4 linked regions of the Anolis sagrei genome follow. The protein of the gene in region 2 purifies or fractionates together with the protein of the main gene of each other region. This does not show direct contact. Links are inferred from orthologs where the notes say so. Each region holds a gene or a part of one and is shown on either strand. Other genes may lie near its edges.

What was found.
Region 1: the proteins of GRB2 (region 2) and PEAK1 purify together in Homo sapiens (co-immunoprecipitation; 3 studies listed by BioGRID and IntAct, counting the BioPlex papers as one, with this or other methods). This does not show direct contact. The link is inferred for Anolis sagrei from reciprocal best matches to the Homo sapiens genes GRB2 and PEAK1.
Region 3: the proteins of GRB2 (region 2) and PTPN12 purify together in Homo sapiens (affinity purification with mass spectrometry; 3 studies listed by BioGRID and IntAct, with this or other methods). This does not show direct contact. The link is inferred for Anolis sagrei from reciprocal best matches to the Homo sapiens genes GRB2 and PTPN12.
Region 4: the proteins of GRB2 (region 2) and DOCK4 purify together in Homo sapiens (co-immunoprecipitation; 4 studies listed by BioGRID and IntAct, counting the BioPlex papers as one, with this or other methods). This does not show direct contact. The link is inferred for Anolis sagrei from reciprocal best matches to the Homo sapiens genes GRB2 and DOCK4.

The regions. Positions count from the first base shown.
Region 1 is NC_090029.1:10,715,919-10,723,651, reverse strand, and holds the start of PEAK1 (inactive tyrosine-protein kinase PEAK1), read right to left. Parts: upstream 3,011-7,733; 5' UTR 2,746-3,010; intron 1-2,745. UniProt on the Homo sapiens protein: Probable catalytically inactive kinase. Scaffolding protein that regulates the cytoskeleton to control cell spreading and migration by modulating focal adhesion dynamics. Acts as a scaffold for mediating EGFR signaling.
Region 2 is NC_090022.1:117,442,580-117,450,164, forward strand, and holds the start of GRB2 (growth factor receptor-bound protein 2), read right to left. Parts: upstream 3,019-7,585; 5' UTR 2,818-3,018; intron 1-2,817. UniProt on the Homo sapiens protein: Non-enzymatic adapter protein that plays a pivotal role in precisely regulated signaling cascades from cell surface receptors to cellular responses, including signaling transduction and gene expression.
Region 3 is NC_090025.1:85,808,542-85,816,252, forward strand, and holds the start of PTPN12 (tyrosine-protein phosphatase non-receptor type 12), read left to right. Parts: upstream 1-4,702; 5' UTR 4,703-4,930; coding exon 4,931-5,029; intron 5,030-7,711. UniProt on the Homo sapiens protein: Dephosphorylates a range of proteins, and thereby regulates cellular signaling cascades. Dephosphorylates cellular tyrosine kinases, such as ERBB2 and PTK2B/PYK2, and thereby regulates signaling via ERBB2 and PTK2B/PYK2.
Region 4 is NC_090025.1:133,553,169-133,560,656, reverse strand, and holds the start of DOCK4 (dedicator of cytokinesis protein 4), read right to left. Parts: upstream 3,012-7,488; 5' UTR 2,713-3,011; coding exon 2,676-2,712; intron 1-2,675. Other genes in the region: ZNF277 (zinc finger protein 277), read left to right, coding at 3,289-3,325. UniProt on the Homo sapiens protein: Functions as a guanine nucleotide exchange factor (GEF) that promotes the exchange of GDP to GTP, converting inactive GDP-bound small GTPases into their active GTP-bound form. Involved in regulation of adherens junction between cells.

The sequences.
Region 1 (7,733 bases), on a different chromosome or scaffold from region 2:
CCAACCCCAACAGTATTCAAATTTGGGCGTATCGGGTATTTGGGCAAAATTGGTCCAGTGAATGAAAATACATCCTGGATATCAGATTCATAACAGTAGCAAAATTACGGTTATGAAGTAGCAATGAAAATAATTTTATGATTGGGGGTCACCACAACATGAGGAACTGTATTAAGGGGTCACGGCATTAGGAAGGTTAAGAAACACTGGGATACAGGATAATGAAAAAAAATGAAATGAATACTTTTGAGAACCTTAGACAGATGATAACCAAGAGAAAATGACTATGTGCTCGAACATACTGAGATATAAATATTTAATAGTATTCCTGTACCGTTGTATTATTATTTAAAGAGAAGTCAAGGGTCGAGGTTTTTGGGAGAAAATGGGGAGCTGATGGGATTGGGGGAAAATTGTATTTTGATTGTTGAATTTCGAAGATTGCATGCCTCTATGTATGTATTTATAATGTGCAACATTCACACTTGCCCCCAACAGACAAGAGTTCTTTCTCCCACCGTGGACATTCCAGAGATATATAAACCTCACTTGCCTAGTTTGCAACAGACCTCACAAACTCTGAGGATGCCTGCCATAGATGCAGACAAAACGTCAGGACAGAAGGCTTCTGGAACATGGCCAAACAGCCCGGAAAACTCATAGCAACCCAGTGATTCCAGCCATGAAAGACTTCGACATTTTGACCTGAAAAATTTCGGGGGTGGTTTAAACCCCTCAATCTCTCCCTTGGCTACGGGCTTGTCCCAGATCCACCTCATAGTAGTGTTGCATTGCTTTCTCCTGGATGGTGTTTTCTCTTTAAAGGGAGAGACAGAGAGAAAGAGAGGGAAAGAGGGTGGAGCCCTCCTCGCTCCAAGCCCAAACTTTCCATCCAAGTTTAGAAAAACTGAGTGGAGTCGAAATGGGCTGAAGAATGGGCATTTAACCCTTCAGATTTCCACCTCAGAGCAGGAAGTCCTGCATTAGAGGAAAAGATGAACAAAAAGGAGACAGAAAAGGTGGGGAAGTGCCCCTTCGGTCCCCTGTTATTGTGTCTAATTTACCTCCACCTTTCACCCCCTTTGGAATCAAAAACCCGTTATCCTCAAGGCCTGTTGTTCTGTCCCTCAGACGACACAACTAAAGTTTCTTAAAACACACACACATACATACATATAGATATACATACACACACATGCACACATATGTAAGTCTTTAAATAGTAAATAATTACTTGTTCTGAGATATATAAATTATATATATCTGGGAGATACAAAACATACATACATACACACAAACATATATATAATACGTATATCTAATACACATATTATATAGATATATATTATATAGATATTTGTTTACTATTTAAGTCTTTAAATAGTAAATAATGACCTATTCTGAGAGAAATAAATATATATCTGGGAGATAGAAAACAATAATATTAATATATAATAGAATTTACATATATAGATATATGTACATATAAGTCTTTAAATAGTAAATAATGACCTGCTCTGAGAGATATAAATATATATCTGGAAGATATTATATATCTTATATATATTATATATTAATGTAATATACACATATAATATAATATATGTATTATATAGATATATGCACATATATGTCTTTAACTAGTAATTGCCTGTTCTGAGATATACAAATATATATCTGGAAGATACTCTCTCTCTCTCTCTCTATATATATATGCACATATATAATAAATTTAATATAATATACATATATGATAGAATATAATATTATATAGATATATGTACATATATGTCTTTAAATAGTAAATAATTACCTGTTCTGAGAGATATAAAATATTTCTGGGAGATATAAAACATATATGTAATATAATATTAATATATAATAGAATTTACATATTATATACTTATATGTATACATATAAGTCTTTCAATAGTAAATAATGACCTATTCTGGGAGATCTAAATATATAACTGGGAGATATAAAACATATACATACATATATGTAATATAATATTAATATATAATAGAGTGCACATATTATATAGATATATGTACACATATAAGTCTTTCAATAGTAATAATTGCCTGGAAGATATTATATATATAATTTAATGTAATATACACATATAATATAATATACATATTATATATAATAATATAATAATATTATATATAATTATAATATACATATTATATAGATATACGTACATATATAAGTCTTTAAATAATAAATAATTACCTGTTCTGAAAGATATAAATATATATCTGGAAGATAGAAAACATATATATGTGTGTGTATGTGTGTGTAATATAATATTAATATATAATAGAATATACATATTATATAGATATATGTACATATAAGTCTTCAAATAGTAAATAATGACCTGTTCTGAGAGATATAAATATATAGCTGGACTATATTTATATATATATATATATATATATAGTGTAATATACATATATAATATAATATAATATATATGCATATATATATATATATATATATATATATATAAAAGTAGTAAATAATTGCCTGTTCTGAGAGATACAAATATATATCTGAGAAATACAAATATATATCTGGGAGATATAAAACATATATATATATATATGTTTTATATCTCCCAGATATATATTTGTATCTCTCAGAACAGGCAATTATTTGCTAAAGACATATAGATATATTTACTAAAGACTATAGATATATAGACATATATAAGTTTTGAAATAGTAAATAATGACCTGTTGTGGGAGAGAGAGAGAGAGAGAGAGAGCAGGGATTCCTCCTCACGCGAAAGCAGCAGCAGCAACTCCCCAACTCCTGAGAGAACTACCGGTCGCCGCGAGGGAAAAAAATAAATAAAACTAAAAAGGGCTCGCGCCAGGCTCCGCCCACTTTCGCGCGCCACCAACCGTCACTCGGAGGAGGGAGGGAAGGGAGGGAGAGCGCGCGCCCGTACGCATGCGCCCATCCTTTTTCCTTTTCCCCCGGCGTGTGCTCTCAGCTGTTGCTGCTACTGCTATTGCGAGAAACTTTGGGGCGCGTGCGCATTTCACTCCCATTCTCTCTCCCTCTCTCTCTCGGGGGCGTGGCTATCTCCTCGTCCAATCAATAGCGGTGGAAATACGGCGTCCTTTTCTTTCTTTCTTTTTTTTGTCTGAAAGGGGCGTGGCTTTTCTCCGTCCAATCAAAATCGCGACGAGGCGAGCACCACAAAAGTAGGCCTATTCCTCAATCTCTCCGAAGGGGGCGTGGCAAAGGGTCGTGGCTTCTCTCCGTCCAATCAGCGGCCTCCGAAATCGCGAGGAGGCGGGCACCACAAAGTAGGCATATTCCTCAATCTCTCCGAAGGGGGCGTGGCTTCTCGATGTCCAATCCGCGCCTTCCGAGGACTCTACAGCTCTCATTTCCCGGCATGCGTCGCGCTCATGGACCGTTCAGTGAGGGAAAGCAGAGACGCATCACACCTTCCAATTGACGGAATCCTTCCGCTGTCGGAAATGAGTCCGCTTCAACGTTTGGTGTTTTGGACTCAAAAAAGGGCGGATTTGGTGCCCAAAGGCGCGCCTTTCGGTCTGGACAGACAAAGAGACGCTTATCCCGCTGTTAGTGCGGGAATTTATGGGAGGAGGGAGAAAGGGAGGCGGAAGGATATGGGGAAACGAGAGCGGTGATGCGCCCGTGTTGTGTTTTGAGTGGGGAGAGGAAGGAAGGAAGCGGAAGAGAGTGAGGATGAATGAAGGTGGCTGAGTTGGGGTGAAAACTGCCCTCCCATACAAAGGCCAGCTCTTCTGTGCCAGGTTAGTTATTGATGTGCGGGAGGAGAAGGAAAACAAACGGACACAGGCCGAGGCGGCGTGCCAGAAGGCGGGGGAAGGGCCCGTGAGGCCTACAAGGCCTCCTTTCCATTCAGAATCAATGAAGACATTCCAGAAATATAAAGAGACCCGGGGACGCCGTGTGAGAAGCAATAGTAATACCTAGCATTAATAATAAATAACAATAGCATCAACTTCAAATTAGACCAGGCATGGGCAAACTTTGGCCCTCCCTCCAGGTGTTTTGGACTTCAACTCCCACCATTCCTAACAGCTGGTAGGACCAAGTTTGTCTATGCCTGGTCTACACACTTACCTAACATTGGTTATGGGCCCAGCACTCAACTGAAGTGGCTGAGGAGGGAAAAGAAGGGTCCTGAGGCTGTTAGGAATTGTGGGAGTTGAAGTCCAAAACACTTGGAAGGCCCAAGTTTGCTCATGCTTGGTCTACACACTGACTTAACATTGGCTATGGGCCCAGCACTCAACTGAAGTGGCTGAGGGGGAAAAAGAAGAGTCCAGCACTCAGCTTAAGTGGCTGAGGGGGAAAAGAAGGGGAAAGAAGGGTCCTGAGGCTGTTAGGAATGGTGGGAGTTGAAGTCCAAAACACTTGAAGGTCCAAGTTTGCCTGCGCCTGGTCTACACACTGACCTAACATTAGCTATGGGCCCAGCACTTAACTGAAGTGGCTGAGGGGAGGAAAGAAGGGTCTGGAGGCTGTTAGGAATGGTGGGAGTTGAAGTCCAAAACATCTAGAAGGCCCAAGTTTGCCCATGCCTGGTCTACACACTGACCTAACATTGGTTATGGGCCCAGCACTCAGCTTACGTAGCTGAGGGAGAAAAGGAAAGGGCCTGAGGCTGTTAGTAATGGTGGGAGTTGGAGTACAAAACTTCTGGAGGACCCAAGTTTGCCCATGCCTGGTCTGCACACTGACCTAACATTGGTTATGGGCCCAGCACTCAGCTTACATAGCTGAGGGGAAAAAGGAAAGGACTTGGAGCTATTAGGAACGGTGAGAGTTGAAGTCCAAAACATCTGAAGGGTCCAAGTTTGCTGATATCTCGTCTACACATTGACCTAACATTGGTTATGGGCCCACAACTCAGCTTAAGCAACTGAGGGGGGAAAGGAATGGGCCTGAAGCTGTTAGGAATGGTGGGAGTTTAAATCCAGAACATCTAGAGAGCCCAAGTTTGCCCATTCCTGGTCTACACACTGACCTGACATTGGTTATGGGCCCAGAACTCAGCTTAAGCAACTGGAGGCCCCAAGTTTGCCCATTCCTGGTCTACACACTGACCTAACATTGGTTATGGGCCCAGCACTCAGCTTAAGCAGCTGAGGGGGAAAAGGAAAGGGCCTGAGGCTGTAAGGAATGGTGGGAGTTGGAGTACAAAACTTCTGGAGGACCCAAGTTTGTCCATGCCTGGTCTACACACTGACCTAACATTGGCTATGGGCCTAGCACTCAGCTTAAGTGGCAGAGGGGGAAAAAGAAGGGTCCTGAGGCTGTTAGGAATGGTGGGAGTTGAAGTCCAAAACATCTGGAAGGCCCAAGTTTGTCCACGCCTGGTCTACACACTGACCTAACATTGGCTATGGACCCAGCACTCAGCTTAAGTGGCTGAGGGGAAAAGGAAAGGGCCTGAGGCTGTTAGGAATGGTGGGAGTTGAAGTCCCAAACATCTGGAAGGCCCAAGTTTGCCCATGCCTGGTCTACACACTGACCTAACATTGGTTATGGGCCCAATTTGCAATTTGTTTCATAAAGATCAAGTAGACAGAACATATTGTAAAGAACAAAAAAAACTTTCTGGCCTTGCATCGCACATTTTAGTGCAAATACTAAGACACAAATAGTGTTAAATTCAGCAAGTATTGCAGAATGTCATGTCACAGTCCACTTCAAAAAGGTTCATGACATGCAGCTGTAAATAAAATGCTGTAGTATATAAAAAGCCACATGTTAAATTCATAAAATATATACTGGTTTATTTGGATGATTTTAAAGTGATTTCACTCAGCTTAAGCAGCTGAGGGGGGAAAGCAGCTGAGGCTGTTAGGAATGGTGGGAATTGAAGTCCAAAACACCTGGAGGGCCCAAGTTTGCCCATGCCTGGTCTACACACTGATTTAGGCTATCCGGATATCACTTCTCTAATTCTGAGCCACGTTACACAACAAGCATTGAGTCCCAGATATCATACTTTTGCCCTATGCTCTTGTTATATCACTACATAGAGTACTGCAATGTGCTCTACATGGGGTTGCCTTTGAAGACTGCTTAGAAGCTTCAAGTACTCCAATGATATAGGAGCCCCCGGTGGCGCAGTGGGTTAAATCCTTGTGCCGGAAGGACTGAAGACCAACAGGTTGGACGTTTGAATCTGGGGAGAGTGCGGATGAGCCCCTCAGTCAGCTCCAGCTCCTCATGTCGGGACATGAGAGAAGTCTCCCACAAGGATGGTAAAACGTCAAAACATCTGGGCATCTTTGCAGTCAGCCAATTCTCTTACACCAGAAACGACTCGCAGTTTCTCAAGTTGCTCCTGACACAGAAAAAAAACAGCCGGATTGCTTTTTGGTGGACAGGGAGCGTGCAACCCCCCTGCTGCGTTACCTCCATTGGCTGCCAATTTGCTGCCGAGCACAATTCAAAGTGCTGGCTTTAGCCTATAAAGTCCCAAATGGTTCTGGCCCAGCTTACCTTTCCAAATGTTTCTCCCCTATAGATCACCTCGAACACTAAGATCTTCTGGGGAGATCCATACCCCCCCCCCCCTTTTTAATGTTGAGTGCTAGGCCCATAGCCAATGTTAGATCAGTGTGTAGACCAGGCATGGGCAAACTTGAGCCTTCCAGGTGTTTTGGACTTGTAAGCTGTACCTTGAAAACGGCCCGGAAATTTCAATTGGTCCAACCCCATAAATTTCATTGGGTTTTATTAGGCAAAGAATCCTGAGAGAAGGTTTGCCGGTTCCTTCCTCTGAAATATAGCCTAAATCACTGGCTAGTTGTTGGCGAACTTCTTTCCAAACAGGACTCGCCTTCCTTAGCTGCCAAAATAATATAGGATCAGGTGTTTTCAGGATATTTAGATATCTTAAGATGGAGACAATCCTTTTGTTCAGCATAGTTTCGTATTGTTATTGACTAGCATTGACTGTCCAGGTTTCATATATCTTCTTCCCATGCATTCTTCCTGATATCACATTGAATTTTGGAGCTTCTAAATGCAAAACATGTTATTTGCCACTGAGCCACGATCTTCCTTCTTATTCCTTTCCAATTAATGTCTCCTTTATTTGTGTTGTGGTGCTAAGCTTCTAAACTTGAAGCAGGAGATCTGTTCAGAGCCTTCAAATATTTGAGATTGCAAAATTGGGGTCAGATGAGGAGGAGAAAGCTGACTCTTCCACAATGATGAGCTTTCATCAAATGTAACTAAATGCTGGCAAAGCAGAGTTGGATGCTGAAACCTATTTTTACACCAGTACTGGGATTGTATTTTTGTGGATTTCTCCAATTTAGACAGCTTATTTCTCTTACTAATTCCCTCGGCTTTCTTTCAAATCCTTAGGTCCCCAATGGTATGCCAGTTTCTTGTTTCACAAAGCTGTTTATCCATGATTTGCTTTTTTTAGCATGGTATCAGTAAAATGCAAGACTAATTTTTATTTTGGGCTGGCAGATTTGAGTATCCTTGCTGTAAGGAACAGTGGTGGTAATAGCAAGCTGTGGGAAGCCATTTCCCTCCTGTCCTGGACTAATTCCATTGATCCTTTAGAGACTTGAAATCATGTTCTTAAAATGCATGAATGTTTGTGAGAACACTCCAGGTCAATCTGAACTAAGTCAGGGATTAGTGTAGGATTGTGAGAATCCTCCCATGGATGCGCTTTAAAAGA
Region 2 (7,585 bases):
AGCACTGACCATTGTGTTTTAAAAATTATATGTAGTCCTTTGTAACAATGGGTTATCGATCTACGGAGTAATCGGCCCTTTGAAGGCAACCACAGGGCTGAAATGGCCCCTAATGAACATCAGTTTGACACTCCTGATTTATGACAAGTCACACTCTCTCAGGTTCAGATGAATACAAAGACAACCCCACTCTAAACAAACCTTTCCAAGGAAACCCTGCAATAGGTTCACTACAAGACTTGAAGGCTTATCAGAAAAGCATTATTATAATGTGGAGTAGGAGCTCTAGAGAAGAGTAGGAGCTCCTTCCTTAGAAACTAGACACATCCCTTTCCCAAATAAAATAAAAAACTGAAATGAGTTAAACTAAAGTATACATGAGTTAAACTACTATTGTAAAACATTACACTAAATGACCCACTGCAGAGTTATCAAAATATATGCAGGGGTTGCCAATGGTCAAATTACATACATAAACTTATTTTGAGGAGGCCTTATTATCTTGCAGGAACTAAGCATTGGGGATTTGCATTACATTGTAGGGATAACATTACATAGCCGACTTGCTATGTTTGCCAGAAAAAGTATCTACCAGTTTATCACAAGAAATTAGCCTGAAGCAAAAACAAAACAAAAAACCAAAACAAACAAACAAACAAAACTAAACAAAAAAAACAGAACATCTTGAGGAGGTAGAGGTTTCTTAACTAAGGATACATTTCTTTTCAGTGATATCTCATGGAAGTCATAGCCCAGGGGTAAGAATAAATTAATTTGGGTGTCCTGTAGTATGTTTTTAGGGTATAAAGCCTTGGGGTTTTTCCCCAAATGGGAAACATTTCTTCTATATTTTGAATTGACACCAGGCATCTTTTAACAGCACACAATTTTAAGAAGCAATGGGTGCAGCTAAACTATAGAATGAATGCAGGTTGACATCACTAGGCTCAGCAGGACTCAATATTGGGAAATCATGAGAGTTACAGTTTCGACTTATCTGTCAAAGCGTGCTAGTGCCTCAACTACAAATCATAGCACAGACCCAGGGAACTGCATTGATTCTACAGTATAGATGTACTCAATGTCATTTTAATATGCACAATTAAAGCAAAACTTGGAACCATTACTTTGGCCTACAACTCCTGGAAACTCTTAGCCACAGGCTAAGTTGGCTAGAGGGCTCTGGCAGTTTTATGTCTTTTCTTGGATCATTTTTAAGATATTGGAAGCAAATTGGGATTGTATAAAACTTTTGGTAAGTTTCAGGCATTCACAGAAAAAGATTCTCTAAATATCCCCCTTCAATGCAACAGCTATTTTTACCTTTGCTCTGAAACCATTCTGTGAATCCTAGGAGATTCCTGCATTCCCAAAGTTTTGATACAAACACATTACTGAAGTCTCTATTTTCTGAGGAGGTACAGATTCTGTCTGATCTTGAAAGCTAATCTGGGTCAGCTCTAGTTAATACTCAAGTGGCAAACTGACAGGGACCACCAGATGCAGTATGCTATATTTCAAAGGAAGGAACTGCCAAAACTCCTTCCCAGTCTTTTTTGCCAAGGCGACATCTATGAAGAGACACACAAGCCTACTCCCACCACCCGAATAGGTGAATGTGAATGACAATTCAAAATGTTGCTTCTAATTTTTGCCTTCCTCATACATGTCCCACCACTTTTTACAGAAAACTGCTGACCGCAACTTCTGCTTTAACACTAAGCATGTGTTATAAGAGAATTTCATTTCAGTATCATAATGCAACATGGAAACTATGAGATCAGAACAACCACCCTAAAGGTTCTGTTCTTAACTGCCGCCAAATTGACTTTGACTTAGAGGTTTGTCATTTATGGTCCCTTCCACAAAGCTTAATAAAATCCCACATTACCTGCTTTGAATTGGGATATTTGGCAATGTGGACTCAGATAACCCAGTTCAAAGCAGATATTGTGGGATTTTCTGCCTTGGCATTCTGGATTATATGGCTGTGTGGAAAGGTTCTTAGAGGTTTGTCACTTATGGGATGCCCTGTGTCACTCTTTCAGCAAGAACAGTGCTAAGGTTTTGCAGACCCTGGATAGCCATGGCTTCCTTGGCTGGATCTTGACTGAAGAATTAATGCACCTTGATAACACTTTAACTGTCATGGTTCAATTCTATGGAATCCTGGGATTTGTAGTTTGGCAAATCACCAGCACTCTTTGGCAGAGAAGGCTAAAGGCCTTGCATGTGCCTTTATGTGCACCACTCCGAGTCCCCTTCAGGGTTGAGAAGGGCTGGATATAAATATGGTAAATAATAAATTGTAAAATGACAACTCCCAGGATTCCTTGGCATTGAGCCACAGCTGTTAAAGTGCTATCAAGCTGTATTAACTTTACAGCTGAGTTGGAGTCCAAAATATCTGGAGGGCCGAAGTTTGCCCATGTCCGGTGTAAACTCATATAATGCAGTTTGGAACTGCATGATATAGTAGTGTACATTGAGCCTAAGTTAATAATTACTAGGCCAACTCTGGAAAGATTCTCCGCCACTCAAGGCATTTATCTCGCAGTGTCCATTTCTCAAGGAGCAGCAGAGTCATTCGCACGACGAGGAGATCAGAGAGCGCGAGCACCACCCGACTCCCCTCGATTTCCCGCGCCGCGCGCGCTCACACACTGAAAGGCAGCTGAGGCGAGCGCGCGCGCATAGGCGAACCCCAGCCTCCTTCCCGTTCCCTTCCTTCCCCTCCCCCGACAACCGCTCTGCGCGTCCGCCGCCAAGGGAAAAGCCCCCAGGGCGGACCCCCGGCCGAGGCCAAGCACCCCTTACCGTAAGTCAGCTGGGGTTCCGCTCCAAGCGGCCCCCTCCGCCCGTCCCTCTCTCCTTCCTTCCTCCCTTCCTTCCTTTCCTCTCCGCGGCCCCGCCTCAGCGGCTTCTTCGCCCTCAGCAGGGGAGCGCCGCAGAACAACTTCCGCCACCGTACTCTCGCGAGGCCACCATGGGGTGCGAGGAGAAGGGCGGGGGAAAAAAGGATGCTGAAGAGCGCATGCGCACTCTAAGGGCTGTCACCAGAGGGGGTGGGTGGATTTGAAGTCTGTGGTGGCAGCAGGCGCATGTGCAAGAAGATAAACTCCTGAAAAGTCTTTCTGGATCCATTTAAAGAAAAATGCCATAAACTATATTCCCTCCAATATATTTCTCAGGAAATAAAACCCGACTGCTCATTGGAGGGAAGGATATTAGAGGCAAAGATGAAGTACCTTGGCCACATAATGAGAAGAAAGGAAAGCTTAGAGAAGACAATGATGCTGGGGGAAATGGAAGGAAAAAGGAAGAGGGGCCGACCAAGGGCAAGATGGATGGATGGTGTCCTTGCAGTGACTGGATTGACTCTGAAGGAGCTGGGGTGGCCACGGCCAACAGGGAGCTCTGGCATGGGCTGGTCCATGAGGTCAAGAAGAGTAGGAAGTGACTGAACAAATAAACAACAAAAACATTCTCACTACCTCAGAGGATGCTTGCCAAAGTGTAGGCGAATCGTCAGGAGAGAATGCCTCTAGACCATGGCAATACAGCCTGAAAAAACCTACAACAATTCCAGCCATGAAAGCCTTCGACAATACAACAACAACATTTTTCTCATCATTGGCGAATAGGACCTTCTGGCTTAGTAACATCTGGGTGTAGTGACGATGGCAGGAGTTATTCATGGTTGTGGCATCTACAGTGTAGGATGAATGCAGTTTGACATCACTTTGGCCACTTTTTGGCGCAATGCTATGAAATCACAGGAGGTGTCATTTTGCAAGGTCTAAATAGTGCTAATGCCTCGCCAAATATAACTGACATTATTCCACAGTATTCCCCTTCTGAAGCCTAACCTTGCCAAGACACAAGTGTGTGCTTGCCATCAATATAATTGTGAAGCCAACAGGAAACTGAAGGTTACCTGGGAAGGCCAAGAACTGTGTGAAAGGGCCCTCAGACTTAACGCTAACCTTTAGGAAACACTGTGTGAACACCAAGCACAAAGTAGCTGCACACAATGACATCCTGCGGAAACTTGCTAATAGTGCATCAGGTGCAGAGCCAAAATTAATAAGAACCTGGCCTTGTCTTACTCAACAGCTGAGTATGCCTGCTCCATCAGGCATAAATCTGTTTAATTCTGTTTTATTGTTCACATATTTGTGAATTTTAAATTATGTGGTCATGCTTTTAATTGTAAGCTGCTTTGAGTCTCCTTCAGGAGAGATAAAGCAGGGTATAATTAACCTAAACAACAACAATCTGAGATAAATCTACCCCATGAAGGGAAATTCAGTCTTGGAAGAGTTATCTTGGGGAAAAGGTGTCTCCACTGAAGATTTATCACCAAACCTTGCTTCCATAACAAGCTAATTTTTTCAAAATCCAATTATCACTGAGACAGAAAGTGAGGTCAAATCCTCTGAAGAGGGGTACAGTCCATAAAACAAACATCATAGGAGTGTTAGTCCTTCCCTGTGCTATCCAAAGCTAATATATATTTGGCTGGAGTTACACTTTTAAAATGTACCTGTTTCTACTTACATACAAATTCAATTTAAGGACAATCAGAAGAACCTGTCTTATTTGTAACTTGAAGACTGTGTAATAAAATTTCATTATTTTAAAAACATTTTTGAATGACAAAACTAAAGAAAAAGGGGCAACATAAAACTAGCAAGATATTTAATTCTGTTGTCATCTACAAAAGTTCACATTCAATCAAATTATATTTTAAAAAATCACCAAAAAATCCACAATGTTTTAAGTAAGTTTACAAATTTGTTTTGTTGGGCCGCATTCATAGTCCTCTTGAGTTGCATTGGCCCACAGGTCGCAGGTTGGACATGCCTGCTCTGTAACATGAACAGTCTTCAATAGCCCTGTTTCAATCATGTTCTTGTCTATTACACTGGGCCAAAACGTCCAGTTTTAAAAGCTGAACCAAATAACTTCTGCTCTTCTTTATGTGTCAATACATCAGTGGAAATGCCTTGTAATAGAAGTCAAAGGCGTGATAAAATTGCAATCAATAAGGTGCCTTTATTATAGAATAAAGAACACATTGGAACTCCCTTCCAAATAAACATAGCGAGGATTAAAGTGGAAGACTATTTAAAACTGGTAAGCATGTCAACAATGCCTGGCAACTCTTACTCATAACACTTAGTCATGAGTAATTATATTCCTTTCCATAAGATTATTTAGCAGTCATGGAAACACAAAGGTTGGCAGCAAGGGTTTAATTTCCCTTAAACATCAGGAAGAACTTCTTCACAGTCAGTGCTGCTCAACAGCATATTCCACTATTGAGCAGCACTATGCTGCTGCCTCGGAGCATGCTGGAGTCCCCCCTCTGGCAGTTTTTAAGCAGAGGCTGGATGGCCATCTGTTGGGGGCGCTTTCAAATCTGTGTTCCTGCATGGCAGAAGGGGGTTGGGCTGAATGGATTTTATATGGCAACGTAGAAGGGGCCTAGGTATCACAACTCATCCACTTCTTCAGCAGGTAAAAATCCAGAGGGGTTTGTGTAAAAAGATTGGTTTGTGTAACCTTTTCTTGGCAAAAGGGGTTTTATCTTTGACTTTCTCTGAGGCTGCGAGAATGTGACTCACCCAAGGCCACCCAGTATGTTTCCATAGTTGAGTGGGGATTCAAACCTATGTCTTCAGAGTCATAATCAACTGATCAAGCCGCTACACAACATAGTATTGGGGAACAGAAATGGTCATGTACAATATTTGGTTGATTTTTTCACCTATGTGAAGTTGGGCTTTAAACTGTGCTGGTTGACTGTACTGCAGGGGTTCAGTTGCAGAAAAAGAATGGTTATAAATTGGAGCTGGTAGTTCAGCTATATGATATTCCACAACAGTGAAGAAGTTAAAAGGAAAAGAGAAATATATAGTCCCAGCAGTCCCGGTGGAAAGAAAGAGCCAGGGGTGTTTTGTTAATTAATGAAATGTTTGATTATATATATCTTTATAAATTAGTGCTTCTTAGTCCATATCTTTCTGCTCCGTTCTTGACAAAGCATTAAAAAATCCAAGTGAGTGTGAGTCTACGTCTCATATATGAATTGGTTACAGCTTTTTAAGGGCCAAGGAATAGCTTTAATGTATTACAGATTTTTCAATTCATATTAATGCTAGGCTGCATTCCTGCCTGTCCAGTTCATGTTATTTATTTCACAATCAATACAATTATCAGCCAATTTCAGGGGAGGGAAAACTATAGGCAAAATAAAATAATTTGTAAAAAGTGTATAATGTTTAGATGTTGAGAAGTTTGGAAATCCAGAAATCTAAAATCCACATTAACTACCAAAACCAGAATATTAGAGTTGTGGCTTTCTTTCTTTCTTTCCTTCCTTTAAATTCCAATCAGCATAACTATTGTTGCCGGAGATAAGAGAAGATGAGAGGTACTGTTCAACTATTTATAGAGAGACGCAAGTTGACGACACTTGTACTATTAACTGAAAGTGCTGTGAGTGCACAAAAGGTAGGGACAGAAAATTCACATGGCTCAGCTATAAGTCTCTCTTTTAAGTTAAAGTGCAAAATCAGAGCTTAGAAGTAATAGGTTGTTGTAATTACCTTTTTGGCTAACAAGCTATAACAATGTTGCACTTCCAAAGCAATACAATCGGTAGGAAATTACTTTAATTTATTGGTGCAGTCCATATATTTTGTCATTATTTCATTAATTCAAAGAGTTTTTTAAAACAAGTAAAAAAAAAGCTATTGGAAAGTAACATACATATTGGAATTAATAACTGGATTACATTTTCAAAACTGAAAGTGAGCTAGTGTGAACTACCTTTCTGGAGACCAAGGTTTGAATACCCCCTGGGCTATGGAAATCCACTGGGTTACATTGGGCAAGTCACTTTCTCTGTTTTCAGAGGAAGGTAAAGGCAAACCCCTTGTGAACAAATAATGCCAAGAAACCCACATGAGAGGGTCTCCTTGTCTAAGGTCATTCAGTGAGCTTCCATGGCCAAATAGGAACTTGAACCCTGGTCTCCATATATGTAACACAACCAATACTTTCAATATAACTATACCAGGGAGGGGCCTTTAAAATTCTCAGCCAGAAAGGTCCTGGGTCTCACTACACTACAAAACCCAACATTCCGCAAGAGGATTTAAAGTGGGATGCACACTCTATTTCCACCCTTTAAAGGATAGTGTGGCAAGAGAAGTTAAGACTGACCTTAATTGTTAAGACTGGGGGCAGTCTGTCTGGGAGAACCCTCTGTATTTATCTCCCATCAACCATGAAGTAGACACCAAATGTTTATGGGAATCAGACCTGTTTAATGATGCGGTCATGATTCCACCGCATGCTGAAAATCGGGCAAGGCAAAAGAAGGCAAAATAGCAACTTAAAATATTTTGCATGTAACAGGACATCTACCCATGCTCGTTGCATTTCTAAATGGTGTTTCACAAACATTACCCATAGCAAAGGTAAATTTTAATGCGATTGTACTTAGTATTTTACAGTCAGATAATAAAGCAGAAGTTTTTTCTCCTAGATTGCATTTAGCATGCAGAAATACATA
Region 3 (7,711 bases), on a different chromosome or scaffold from region 2:
AAGCGCAATTGATGGGGACGAGGGATAGAGCCTTCTCGGTGGTGGCCCCTTGACTCTGGAACTCGCTCCCCAAGGACATTAGGCTGGCCCAACTCTGGCAGTCTTCAAGAGGAGCCTGAAAACGTTGTTCCAGTGTGCCTTCCCAGAATAAGGAAACCCTAAGCAACATGCCCCTAATCGCACTTTACTAATGATCTAGGATTGTCTGCTCGCTCCATCTCTCTCCAAATACCTATCCTAGTTATATGTCACCTTGTCACGCCCAGCATTTTTAAAAAAAGATTAATTATTACATTTGACCCTGCCATAGGTTTTTAATGCGTTGTTGTGTTATTGTTACTGTTTATTGGTTTGTTTATGAGTTAGTTTATTGTCTGTATTATTGTTGTTGCTTTTTACTGATGTATTTAGGCTCGGCCTCTTGTAAGCCGCACCGAGTCCTTCGGGAGATGGTAAAAAGGTAAAGGTAGTCCCCTGACATTAAGTCCAGTCATGTCTGACTCTGGGGTGTGGTGCTCATCTCCATTTCTAAGCCGAAGAGCCGGTGTTGTCCGTAGACACCTCCAAGGTCATGACTGCATGGAGCGCCGTTACCTTCCCGCTGGAGCGGTACCTATTGATCTACTCACATTTGCATATTTTTGAACTGCTAGGTTGGCAGAAGGTAGGGCTGACAGCGGAAGCTCACGCCGCTCCCCGGAATTGAACCTGTGACCTTTCAATCAACAAGCTCAGCAGCTCAGTGCTTTAACCCACTGCACCACCGGGGGCTCCCTTTCGGGAGATGGGAGGATTATTATTATTATTATTATTATTATTATTATTATTAGGAGTGTGTTGATGTTACTATTAGAATCAGAGTAAAGTTGTGATGCAAGCTCCTTATATTACCTGTTAACTTTTCAGATCCAAATCATGCAATCTGATATTAAGTACATACATTTGGAAGAAAGACATAAGGAAGTAAATGTGACAAAATTTGGTTCATATTTGTAAAAGTAACGCCTGCTTTCTCTATGCTGCCAAAATAATGTGAACAGACTTGTGGAAAGAGATCTACTGAAAATAATGGAAGGAGCTATGAAAATGTTACCTGTAATATTGTACCTCTAATACGGAAACCTAGGCAAGTCATCACTATACTGGTGTGAACCAAGTTTTATTTGCAAAGCAATATGTGTGTGTTTCCAGACTTTGACAGAACATTGACCCTCATGTTCCCTTTATTAGTACAGATTAGTACAAATGCAGTGTACTTACTTGTGCCTTACTAACATTGCTTATTGTGTTTGGCTTCAATTGCCTGCTTCCTGAAGAGCAAGAGAGAAATAAACTTTATGTTTCAAACTTATAAACTGCCTGGTACAAAAGGTCAGCAGGGTTGCATACCATAGCAGATGCCCAGTATAACTGCAAGTTGGGAGGCAACTCTGTGGATGTAATTTAAAGCTGCTATAGTCTAAATTTTAAAAAAAATGTGAAATTGAACTGTACGTTGCAGAAAGTCTAGAGACATAATATACCGATAGTAGCACTTTTTCTTTGTTGTAGTCGTGTCTATAACTTAAAAGCACCACTGAGTGTGAGAATGCACTCGTAGACTGTCATCCCGTTTGGATATCAGCCAGCACGTCAACGACTTAAATCAAGAAATAGTTTTCTAAGATCTACAGAGACACTCGCTGGAACACTTCAGCAAGTGAGAGTCCAAAAGTGGCAGGCTCAAACCCAGAACCTCAATCAATGGCTGATACCAAATGAGAGACTCCCCCCTGGGCACACAGAGGACTGGGCGACTTGGAAGGCGCTGAACAGACTGCGCTCTGGCACCACGAGATGCAGAGCCAACCTTAAGAAATGGGTCTACAAAGTGGAATCCACGACATGCGAGAGCGGAGAAGAGCAAACCACTGACCACCTGCTGCAATGCAACCTGAGCCCTGCCACATGCACGATGGAGGACCTCCTTGCGGCAACACCAGAGGCACTCCAAGTGGCCAGGTACTGGTCAAAGGACATTTAATCAACTACTCAGCTCGCAAACTTTGTGTTTTGTTTGTTTCTTTGTTTTGTTAAAGAATGCAATGCAACTGGTCTGCCCCTGACACGATAAATAAAATCTGCTTCCTTGCAGAGTCTACATTTGAGATTATTATTATTATATAGCCCGAAAAACCTACAATATCCCAGTGATTCCAGCCATGAAAGCCTTCGACAATACATTGTCCCCTTTCAGTTTGGCTAATGCAGTGGTTCCCAGATGTTTTTGCCCTTAGAATCATAGAATCAAAGAGTTGGAAGAGACCTCATGGGCCATTCAGTCCAACCCCCTGCCAAGAAGCAGGAATATTGCATGCAAATCACCCCTGACAGATGGCCATCCAGCATCTGTTTAAAAGCTTCCAAAGAAGGAGCCTCCACCACACTCCGGGGCAGAGAGTTCCACTGCTGAACAGCTCTCACAGTTCTTCCTCACGTTCAGATGGAATCTCCTTTCTTGTAGTTTGAAGCCACTGTTTCGTGTCCTAGTCTCCAGGGAAGCAGAAAACAAGCTTGCTCCCTCCTCCCTGTGGCTTCATCTCACATATTTATACAGCCTTCTCTTCTTCAGGCTAAACATGCCCAGCTCCTTAAGCCGCTCCTCATAGGGCTTGTTCTCCAGACCCTTGATCATTTTAGTCGCCCTCCTCTGGACACATTCCAGCTTGTTAATATCTCTCTTGAATTGTGGTGCCCAGAATTGGACACAATATTCCAGGTGTGGTCTAACCAAAGCGGAATAGAGGGGTAGCCTTCAACTCCCAGAAGTCCTAACAGCTGGTAAATTGGCTAGGATTTCTGGGAGTTGTAGGCCCAAAACATCTGGGGATCCCAGGCTGAGAACCACTGTGCTAGTGGTCCCCGTTGGAGGTCGCCTCTAACCCAGAAAGACTCAGCCTCTGTTGTCGAAGGTTTTCAGGGTGGGACAAAGGACTCTTGTCTGCTGGAGCTAGGTGTGAATGTTTCAACTGACCACCTTGATTGGCATATAATGGCCTGACAGTGTCTAGAGCAAACTTTTGTTGAGAGGTGATTAGATGTCCTTGTTTGTTTCCTCTCTGTTGTTGTGCTGTTGTAATTTTAGAGTTTTTTTTAATACTGGTAGCCAGATTTTGTTCATTTTCATGGTTTCCTCCTTTCTGTTGAAATTGTCCACGTTTGTGTATTTCAATGGCTTCTCTGTGTAGTCTGACATGGTGGTTGTGAGAGTGGTCCAGCATTTCTGTGTTCTCATATAATATGCTGTGTCCAGGTTGGTTCATCAGGTGTTCTGCTATGGCTGATTTCTCTGGCTGAAGTAGTCTGCAGTGCCTTTCATGTTCCATGGTACCTCTCTATTCTGTTTTAGTTAGACCTCGCCGGCAATACTGTGCCCAATTCTGGACACCACAGTTCAAAAGAGATATGGAGAAACTGGAAGGTGTCAAGAGAAGGGCAACTAAAACGATCAAAGGTCTTGAGACCATGAATACCTATGAGGAGTGTCTTAAAGGGTTTCATATGTTTAGCTTGCAGAAGAGAAAGTTGAGAGGAGACATGATAGTCGTGCATAAATATGTGAAAGAATGTCATAAGTGGGATCAAGGAAAATGAAAGGCACTGCAAACTATTTCAACCACTATTTTCAATCAAGAAGTCAGCCATAGCAGACCACCTGATGAACCAACCTGGACACAGCATAGAATCAAAGAGTTGGAAGAGCCATCCAGTCCAACCCCTGCCAAGAAGCAGGAATATCGCATTCAAATCACCCCTGACAGATGGCCATCCAGCCTCTGTTTAAAACCTTCCAAAGAAGGAGCCTCCACCGCACTCCGGGGCAGAGAGTTCCACTGCTGAACGGCTCTCACAGTCAGGAAGTTCTTCCTCATGTTCAGATGGAATCTCCTCTCTTGTAGTTTGAAGCCATTGTTCCGCATCCTAGTCTCCAAGGAAGCAGAAAACAAACTTGCTCCCTCCTCCCTGTGGCTTCCTCTCACATATTTATACATGGCTATCATATCTCCTCTCAGCCTTCTCTTCTTCAGGCTAAACATGCCCAGCTCCTTAAGCCGCTCCTCATAGGGCTTGATCATTTTAGTCGCCCTCCTCTGGACACATTCCAGCTTGTCAATATCTCTCTTGAATTGTGGTGCCTAGAATTGGACACAATACTCCAGGTCTGGTCTAACCAAAGCGGAATAGAGGGGTAGCCTTCAACTCCCAGAAATCCTAACAGCTGGAAAATTGGCTAGGATTTCTGGGAGTTGTAGGCCCAAAACATCTGGGGATCCCAGGCTGAGAACCACTGGGCTAGTGGTCCCCGTTGGAAGTCGCCTCTAACCTAGAGAGACTCAGCCTCTGTTTTTCTCTACTCCCCCCCCCTTCCTCCTTTCCTATCTCTACCACCTCCCCCCCCCCCCCTTAAATCTCATTGGTACATCCCAGCCTCCTGCTCAACAAACACTGGAAGATCCCTTCGGAAGAAGGGGGAACAATTTAGGGGTGGGGAAGAAGAAGAAGAAGAAGGAAGTTTCTCCAGAGGTAGGAAAGGGAGGGGGAGGAGGAAGAGGGCGGGACGGGCGAGCCGCTGGGCCAATGGCAGCGACCTTCGGGGCGGGGCATCCAATCGCCGGGCCGCATAGGGAGGAAGAAGGCGGGAGCGCGCGGACGGCACTGCGCCTGCGCGGGAGGAAAAGGCGTGAGAGAGTGTGTGAGGCGGAGAGGAAAGGGGGGAGCGGAGGAAATAGCCGCGTCGCTTCGCGTGAGGGAGGGGATGGAGCGGAGCCGAGCCCTGGCCGGGAAGTTGTGCTGAGGGAGGGAGGAGGAGGAGGAAGGGAGGGAGGCCAGGGCGAGGCGGAGGAGAAGGAGAAAGCCGGGTCTCTTCCGCCCAGAGAGGCCAGGAGGGAGGATGGAGCAAGAGGAGATCCTGAGGAAATTCATCCAGCGCGTCCGGGCCATGAAGGACACCGACCACAATGGGGAGGACAACTTCGCCACAGACTTCATGGTAAGCCTGCTGTGAGGGGAAGGGGGCGCCCAGGGGGAGAAGGCCTGCGGGGGGGGGGGAGGGTGGGGAGGGAGGCTCGAGGCCCTTCCTGGGTGCCTCCCCCTCCCCCTTTCTTTCCCCCTTCTCCATCTCTGAAAGGAAGCTGCTGCATCCTCTTCCCTTTCCTCGCAGCCTTTTCCTGTGGGTGTGTGCCTTTGCTAGGAAGCCTTGTGCAAAAGATAGACACATATTCTGGCTCTTTGCTTCTTTCTCCCCTCCTCCAGAAGTCCCCCCCCCCTTTTTTTTTGAAGGCACGCCTCTACCTTAAGAAGGGAGCAGCCCAGAGGGATTTCTTCCTTTCTGGTTTTGTTACCAGGTACCAAGGAAGGATGTGTGTGGAAATCGGGGATCACCTTCCCCTGCAGTTGGGGTCTATCAGGGCCCCTTTACTACTACTAATAATAATCTGTATTTATACCCTGCTGCCATCATCATCATCATCTTATATAAATAAAAATGTAATAATACTAATACTACTACTACTAATAATAATCTTTATTTATACCCTGCCACCATAATAATAATAATAATAATCATCATCATCATCATCATTATCATCATCTTATATAAATAAAAATGTAATAATACTAATAATACTACTACTAATAAGAATCTTTATTTATACCCTGCCACCATAATAATAATAATAATCATCATCATCATCATCATCATCTTATATAAATAAAAATGTAATACTACTACTAATAATAATCTTTATTTATACCCTGCTACCATAATAATAATAATCATCATCATCATCATCATCACCACTATCTTATATAAATAAAAATGTAATAATAATACTAATAATAATAATCTTTATTTATACCCTGCTACCATAATCTTCATCATCATCTTATATAAATAAAAATGTAATAATAATACTAATCTTTATTTATACCCTGCTACCATAATAATAATAATCATCATCGTCATCATCTTATATAATTTTTTTAATAGTAATACTAATAATAATATTTATTTATACCCTGCTACCATAATAATAATAATATTTATTTATACCCTGCCACTATAATAATAATAATAATAATCATCATCATCTTATATAAATAAAAGTGTAATAATAATAATCATCATCATCTTATATAAATAAAAATGTAATGTTCGTTTGTGGGATTAACATAACTCAAAAACCACTGGACCAATTGACACCAAATTTAGAGACAATACACCTAACAACCCAATGAGTGACCATCACCCATAAAAACACTGAAAAACACAGTGGAATAGACTTTAAAAAGCCAAAAAATAAAAAATACATTACAACGCATGTGCAAAACCACATATATACACAAACACACACATATATATATACACACACATATATACACACACACATAGAATCATAGAATTAAAGAGTTGGAAGAGACCTCATGGGCCGTCCAGTCCAACCCCCTGCCATGAAGCAGGAATATTGCATTCAAATCACCCCTGACAGATGGCCATCCAGCCACATATACACAGATTGGACCACAGCAACATGTGGCAGGGGATGGCTAGTATATAAATAAAAATGTAATGTTCGTTTGTGGGATTAACATAACTCAAAAACCACTGAACGAATTGATACCAAATTCGGACGCAATACACCTAACAACCCAATGAGTGACCATCACTCATAAAAACACAGAAACGCACAGTGGAATAGACTTTAAAAAGCCAAAAAGTAAAAAATACATTACAATGCATGTGCAAAACCACATATATACACAAACACACACATATACACATATATACACACACACACATATATACACAGACTGGGCCACAGCAACGTGTGGCAGGGCATGGCTAGTACATAAATAAAAATGTAATGTTCATTTGTGGGATTAACATAACTCAAAAACCACTGAGCGAATTGATACAAAATTCGGACACAATACACCTAACAACCTAATGAGTGACCATCACTCATAAAAGCACTGAAAAACACAACAGAAGGGACTTATAAAGCCAAAAAAATAAAAAATACATTACAATGCATGTGCAAAACCACATATATACACAAACACATACATATACACACATATATATACACACACATATACACAGACTGGGCCACATCAATGCGTGGCAAGGGATGGCTAGTAATCTATATAAATAAAAATGTAATGTATGTTTGTGGGATTAATATAACTCAAAAACCATTGGACGAATCGACACCAAATTTGGACACAAGACACCTATCAGGCCAACGAGTGACCATCACTCATAAAAACACTGAAAAACACAGCAGAAGAGACTTTAAAAGTCAAAAAAGCAAGAAGATGCTACAGCGCATGCGCAAAAATGACTCCACCTGGCAAACAAAACACACAATAGCATATCCACACTCTCTTCCAGACTACAGCTCCCAGCATCCTCTAGACCAAGCCCTTTAGGAGGGGGGGGGGATCCAAATGCATTGCTTCCAAGCTGCAAGCTTTCTTCTTGGATTTCTTTGAGAGCATCCTAATCCCTGCAGATTTCCAATTACCTATTCTTGGACTGCAACTCTCAGCAATCCTCCAGATAGATAGATTGGAAAGAGATAGATAGATCAGGAGGACTGCTGGAAGTTGCAGTCCAAGAATAGATAGAGAAGGAAGAAAGGGGAGAAAGAGGAAGGGAAAGAAAAAGGGG
Region 4 (7,488 bases), on a different chromosome or scaffold from region 2:
CAGCATCTGGGATCATATCTAAATGGCTGCATGCAGTAGATCTGGTGTTACAATGCAAATGGTTAAAAGACAGAAAGATCAGTTTCTGGAACATGTCCATACAGCTCGGAAAACTCACAGCCACCAAGTGATTTCAGCCATGAAAGCCTTCGACAACACAGCACAAAAGTCTTTGCATTCCAGCTGGATTTGGTGTCACATCCGCAACTAAGTAGCACAGGCATATCTCAATGCAGAACAAACAACATTCCTGCAATACCCTTTACCTGAAAAGCCAGGGAAAGTCCCTTCGAATATTTTATTATAGCTTCCAAACCTTTAGAAGTCTTCCATATACTTGCAATCTTAAACACATCTACTTAGATATAAATCAGTGGGGCTATGGGAATAAAGGGTACAAGGTTGCAACCTTTATCACTTTGTGGTCTGAAATATCCCTATAGTTAATCCCCCAAACAGAATTGGGGAAAATGTCCCAGCTATCCAAAGACAGAGAGGCATATCCTTGATCTTTGCACCATTTCAAAGTTGGGGGGGGGGGGGCGGTCTGAGAAATGTGCATTGCAAGCTAAAAAGGAAAGATGGGTGGCACGATATACAGAAATGAATAATCCAAAGTACGATCATCAGAAGGATCTGGGTGTAAAGTGTCTGGAGGCAGAAATAAAATCCAAGTTTTAAAATATTCAATAAGGGATGAAGGCAGGGGAGGGAGCCAGAAGCGCATCAATGGTGGGGAGGAGGCGGGTGAAGGGGGGAGATGAAAAACCCCACATTCATCCGTCAACATCTAACCTCCTTTGTTGTTCACCTTTTGCAGAGAGGAGGGAGGCAGATTTCTCCTCCTCCGCCCCAAAGAGGAGGGCAAGTTTCCCCCAACTGATCCCACCTCGGCCCTGCCTGCTTCCTTGTGTAATAAGCTAGGTACCTTTGTACTCAATTCAACCAGAGAACAAAAACAACACCGCTGGAACTAGGTTACTATCCAAATTAAAACAAAAACACTATGCACACACAGACACAGAGAGAGAGATGCACACTGAACTGCACATTGGTGCCTCTCTCGGTTTACGCGAAAGATGGCAGTTTAGCCCCAATTTCAAAACCTTGTGCCAAAACATACAGTTTGTAACAATTGTGGGAGATTGCTTAGTCTGCTCTTTTTTATGTGAGTGAGTTGATGGGGTTCCTTTGCTTTAGAAGATTCTGCTTAATGGGAGACAGTCCCTAAAAGGATCTATTACAAAATCTACTATCCGATCTTCACCATTCATGACATCCAATTTGGGAAAGGGGAAAAAAAACCCTCACCATTTTCCTTTATGCCACATTTTAAAACACTATCCAAATGACACTTGGCGCAAAGGGAAGGGAAGGAGGTTGAAGGAGGAAGATGGGAAACAGATAGCGCAATAAATGTACATTTTTTACACCAAAAATTGGAATGCTTAACCTGCCTCTACTTGAAGACAATGAATGCATTTTTTAAATGGAGCCCCTTAACCTGCCTCCATCTGAAGACAATTTAAAAAAATGGATACTTTAACTTCCCTTTATCTGAATACAATGAGTGCAATTAATATATTTATTTTGAGGAAAACCTTAATCTGCCTCCACTTGATGAAAATCATTAAAAAATACTTTGATACTTGAACCACTCTCTACTTGAAGACAAATCAATGCAATGTGTTCATTTGGGGAGAACTTTAACCTCTCTTGTCATCTTAAAAACAATAATAGTCTTTTTAATTTATATATATATATATATATATACATATAGTATTATAATATATTAATATATTAATATATAATATAATATTTTATGTTATATATCAATATATTATAACATATATTAATATTAGAATATTTCAATATTATATATATATATATATATATACACTATAATATACATAAAACATTATATATATACACACACACACATATATAAATGTATATGTATATAGAGAGTGGGACACCTTTCAATGTCCCAAAAATATATTTATTTTGGGGAAAAACCTTAACCTGCTTCCAGTTGAATCAGTTGGGTAGAGTTGGATGAGACCACAAGGGCCATCCAGTCCAACCCTCTTGAATACAATACATTTCTTTAAAAAACTGGATAGCTTAACCTGCCTCTATTGAAAACAACCAACATCGTGTATTTTTCTAGAGAAACCTTAATCTGCATAGACTTGAAAGGCAAAATAATTTAGTTATTTGGGGGGAAACCTTAACCTCCCTCCAACTAAAGACAAGAATTGTTATTTTTAAAGAACTAGACATCTTAAAACTGCCTCTACTTGAAAACAACCAATATAATGGATTTGTTTTGAAGGGAAACCTTCACCTGACCCAACATTATCCATATCTAAATGAACACCTTAATCTAGAAGACAACCAATGCAATCTGAATTATTTTTGGGGAAACTTTAACCTTCCTTCACTTGAAGGCAATGCATTCATTGTCTTAACCTGCCTCCAACCAAAGTCATTCAGCAATTTGGGAGGAAACCTTAACCAGTTGAAGAGCCAGCCAGACAAATGCAGAACTGCCATGAAGATCAGGATAAAAGAATTCAGGTTGGAGGAGCAGAAGGATGTGCAAAAGAGAGGTCCATTGGATCTCCCCCTTCCTTCCTTCCTTTCCTTCCCTGACTTGGGTCTGTGGCACTCACCGACTCCGTATTTCTCGTGCTCTGTAGGAATCCACATGCTCAGTGTTCCCCCTTGTTTTGTTTGGTTTGTTTGGTTTCTTTTCCCAAATAGTGACAGTAGCAGCTCCTCTCTGCTTCCGAAGCCAACGAGGCTGCTTTGCAAAATCCAAGAGTAGGAAGACACAGCGCAGCGGCTGATGCAGCGGAGCTTGCTTGGCTTGGCTTTGCTTGGCTTGCTGCTGCCTCCGTGGCGCGCGCTCTTCTTCAGCCCCGCTCCTCGTCGGGCGCCGGCCGCGGCGGAGAAGGCATTGTTCGGATTGACGAAGCCCGGCTCGCGCGCTGGGACTGCCAGCCGAGCCAGCCCCGCCCACTTCGCTCCTCCTGATCCTCCCCCTCCCTCCCTTCCCTTCCCCTAATGCACGACGGGAAGTGTAGTCTTTATTTTGTTGCCCTCGCCGAGAAAGATAGCCACGCCCCCTTCCTTGCCGCGGTCTCTGGTCAGACAAAAGAGGGCCCGCTCCAACTCTCCCGACATGCTTTGCTTTCTCGGAGTGGGCGTGGCACCAAGGGAAGGAGTGGGCGGGGCCCCGTCGCTCCCCATTGGTCCAAGGTGTGGGAATGGAAGCCTGGCGGGATGGCCGCTGCGACGAGAGAAGGAGGAGGCGGGAAGGGTGAGTGGAGCAGGCTTCCCCTCTCACCACCAGGCCCATTCTTCTCTTCCGGGATTTCCTTTTCATCTTCCACAGCAAGGGGTTTCAAATTGCGTTAATTCTACAGTGTAGATCATAGGTAAAAGGTAAAGGTTTTCCCCAGACAGTCGTGTCCGACCCTAGGGGTTGCTGCTCATATCCATTTCTAAGCCGAGGAGCCGGAGTTGTCCGTAGACACCTCGAAGGTCACGTGACTGCACAGAGCGCTGTTAGAGTTGGAAGAGACCACATGGGCCATCCAGTCCAACCCCCCTGCCATGCAGGAAAAGCACAATCAAAGCACCCCTGACAGATGGTCATCCAACCTCTGTTAAAAAGTTTCCAAGGAAAGATCTTCCAGCACACTCTGAGGCAGAGAGTGTGCTGGACAGCTCTGACAGTCAGGAAGTTGGGTATTATTTATTTATTTACTGTATTTGTATACCGCCTTTTCTCAGCCTTTTGGTGACTCAAGGCGGTTAACAGGCAACAAGTCATATACATAATATCAAAATGCACATAAAAACATTAAATACAATATAAAACCACAAAAGAAATAATAAGCAACAGCCAGGAGACAGGTGTTTTTAAAGTCTCTTCCTCAAGGTCAGTGCCCACCAAACCCTTCCAGTATTTTCTATGGGTCATGAGCGTTCTGTGTGCCAAGTTTGGTTTAATTCCATCATTGGTGGAGTTCAGAATGCTCTTTTATTGTAGGTGAACTTTAATTCCAGCAACTACAACTCCCAAATGACAAAATCAATCCTCCCCCCACCCCACCAGTATTCAAATTTGGGCATATCAGGAATTTGTGCCAAATTTGCTTCAGTGAATGAAAATACATGCTGCATGTCAGATATTTACATTACGATTCATAACAGTAGCAGAATTACAGTTATGAAGTAGCAACAAAAGTCATTTCATGGTTGAGGGTCACCACAACATGAGGAACTACATTAAGGGGTCATACCATTAGGAAGGTTGAGAACCACTGTTCTAGAAAATCCTCCGTATATACATGTTCATAATAGCAATTGTGGAAAGGAGAGTAAAGCAAAGTATAAATGTTAATTTAGATACAAAATAGCCTTGTGTTGTTATTCTAGCCATTCAGTTCATTGAGACAGAAATGTTGCCATCATGATCTACTTGAGCATCTGGTTAGCAATTCGCTACTGAGGTAAACAGGATGCTGAACTAGATAGGTCTGGTCCATCTGAGCTCCTCTTATGTTCTCAACCGACAGAAAACAAGAGGTCGTTATGCCAGTGGGACTTCTAATGAGGAAAGAACCTGAGCCAGAATGATGAATTATAGATAATATTGACCTTGGACCATAGCTCTAATTCAGCTTCTAACTGCCAATGAATGATCCATCCTCTGAAATCATTGAATATACAGTATAGTTTGGTAGAGCACTACAGCTTTTTGACTGGCAATTATAAATACTCCTCGCTAAAACTTACAAGTGCCAGGATTCTATGGGATGTTGCCATGACACTTGAGATGGACGCATAGTGCTATAGTTGTGAAACATTAAAGGACCCCTGGAACTATTTGATTCAACCCCTGTTCAGCCTCGCTAGTATTGAAGAAGTATTTGTTTTCTTTCTAAACTTAATCTACCTGGGAATTGTGGTGGCTAAGAGTTAACCAGGAGATTCCCCCTTCAAATATTGCCTCATCCATGAATACAAAAGAAGTCAAAGCTTCTGTTATATGCTTCTTTCTCTCTCCCATCCTTCCGAGCTCGAATTTAGACTAGGACCCTGGGTAAAGAGGGCCCATACCCGGCGAGCATTTACATTAAAGCCCCAAGTTCCTGATTGAAGAACACACTCACTTTTGAAAAATTATATTCATAACCTTTTGGGAAAACAGCTTTTGGAGATCACAACTTTTTAGAAAAGCATAACTTTTCAGAGACGAGCCAAAAAACCCTTTAGGGTAGAATCTTCTCTTGTAGTATACAACCAGATATAATTATGCAAGGCAATGGTTTCACTTGTTAGACTGAATAACCTATTATCTCTGATTTGTTAGGAAAACAGAGATTTGCCAATGTATAAAAAAGCAGAGCTTTAGAAGTGCATTTTCAGTGCCCAAAATATATACTCTCCCATAAAACAATTTGTTTTATATCATGCACTCAACAGACAAGAATGAAGTAGACTTTGATAAAGATAAGATATTTGGTTTACTAACAACCTTCATGTGTTCAGCATACACAGGTACAAAACTTATCAGTCCAGTTGATTTATTTCTCTCTCTCTCTCTCTCTCTCTCTCTCTCTCTCTGTCTATATATATATATATATATATATATATATTGCCCTTCTCAGCCCAGAGGTGACTCGGAGCAGTTCACAAATTGGCAAGAATTCGATGCCTCAACAATTATAACAAGTAAAAACAATCAAGAAATTCTGTTAAAAACAATAGCATACGATATAAAAAATATAAAAACTGTACAAAGCCTTAAAACATTATCGTGAGCGTCTCCATGTCAAATCGTTATTCCATTGCATTATCAGGTAGTTTCATAATTAAATTTAGCTGTGCTGTATTTGGGGAAAACCTGCTCAAAAAGCCAGTTTCAGATATGTTGCAGATAATTGTGCCATCTGGCCAGGGCATCTCTCTTAAAGCAAAACAACTATCAGCAGGTTGCATAGTCAAAAGGAGAGAGAGAAAAGAGCATGTGGTCTGCAGCTCCTTTTATAACTTCTCAGAAGCCATAGAGTAAAGCAGGCATGGGCAAACTTTTTAACTTGGGGGCCCCATGGTGAGTTGAAATATTGAAACATGGTTCTCACGTTCCCTCTCTTCCTTCTCTTCTCCCAGCTAAACATCCCCCAGGAGGAAAGGAGGGAGGAAAAAGAAAAGTAAGGAGGAATGGATGGAAGGGAGGAAGAGAAGGATGGATGGATGGATGGATGGATGGAAGGAAGGGTGGAAGGGACTCGAGGGAGGGCAAGACAAAGGGGAAGGAAGGAAAGGAAGGAGAAACAGAGAGAGGGAAGGAGGGAGGAAAGAGGGGAGGGAGGGAGGGAGACAGAGGAAGAAAGGAAAGGAAGGAGGAAGGAAAGAGAGAAGGAAGGAAGGATAGGATAGGATGGAGAGAGAGACTGTCTGAGAAAAGAACCCAAGGGGCTGCATCAGGCCCCCACTCCTGGGTTTGCCCATACCTGGAGTAAAGGAAGTTGCACATGAGAACATACATACAGGAAACTGTAAGAAACAGGATCATAGATAACCATTACTAGAGAAGGCTTGAAGAACGTTGACATTTCCAATACTCACCAGGTGAAAGTAGCCACAAAGGTTTATTAGCAATCCGCTCAGAAAGGATGCAAGTATGATTAGTGCCAAATGTACAAGCATAATCATGAATACAGAGACATGAAGTTTTACCATTTGATAGCTAGTCAAGCCTTCCAGCTCTGCCCAATTCTCTTCCTGACCAAGAGAGAGGCCAGGTTGGATCCGCTCCCCAATTGGCTGGCACTTTGATCACATTGCCACCTCCAGGCGGAGATTCCCTGCTGGAGGGAAGGAGGTGGATGAGGATTGGTGTAGGAAGGGCCAATCAGCTGTTGAAGGGCAGCTCTCCTGGGAAGAGGCAAGCCCTGGAAACCCCATGTCCATATTGGGAGATGTAAATGAGTCCTTGGTTGGTTCAGTTGTTTCAGTCTTGAATAATGAGGAAATTTCCTGGGAAGAACAAGCGCAAGGAGCTCAGGAACAAAATGTGATGATCTTCTTCAATCGGTCTTTTGAGAGGTAAAGAAAAGAGTTCAAAGTGTTTCAATACTTTGAATTCCAGTTTCCGGGCCAGCCATCCCTCAGCTCATTTGAAGCAATCAGCAGGGCGAGTCTTGGCTATTGATACCTCCTACTCCTATTAAAACCTCCTACTGGCCTGTGCATGCACACAATGGACCTTGATTGTCACCTTTGTGGGGTGGGAGGTGTCACATTCGACCAACACTTCTACATATATAACACCACAAGTATAAGAATTCCGAAGCAATGTTCCTCTACATTGGAAAGTTTTCTTTAAATTATAAGAGTTATTTGGAATGGAAAGGAGTCAGTGTCCTGATCTACTTCAAATGTTATCAAAATCATGAGCTCTGTGTAGGC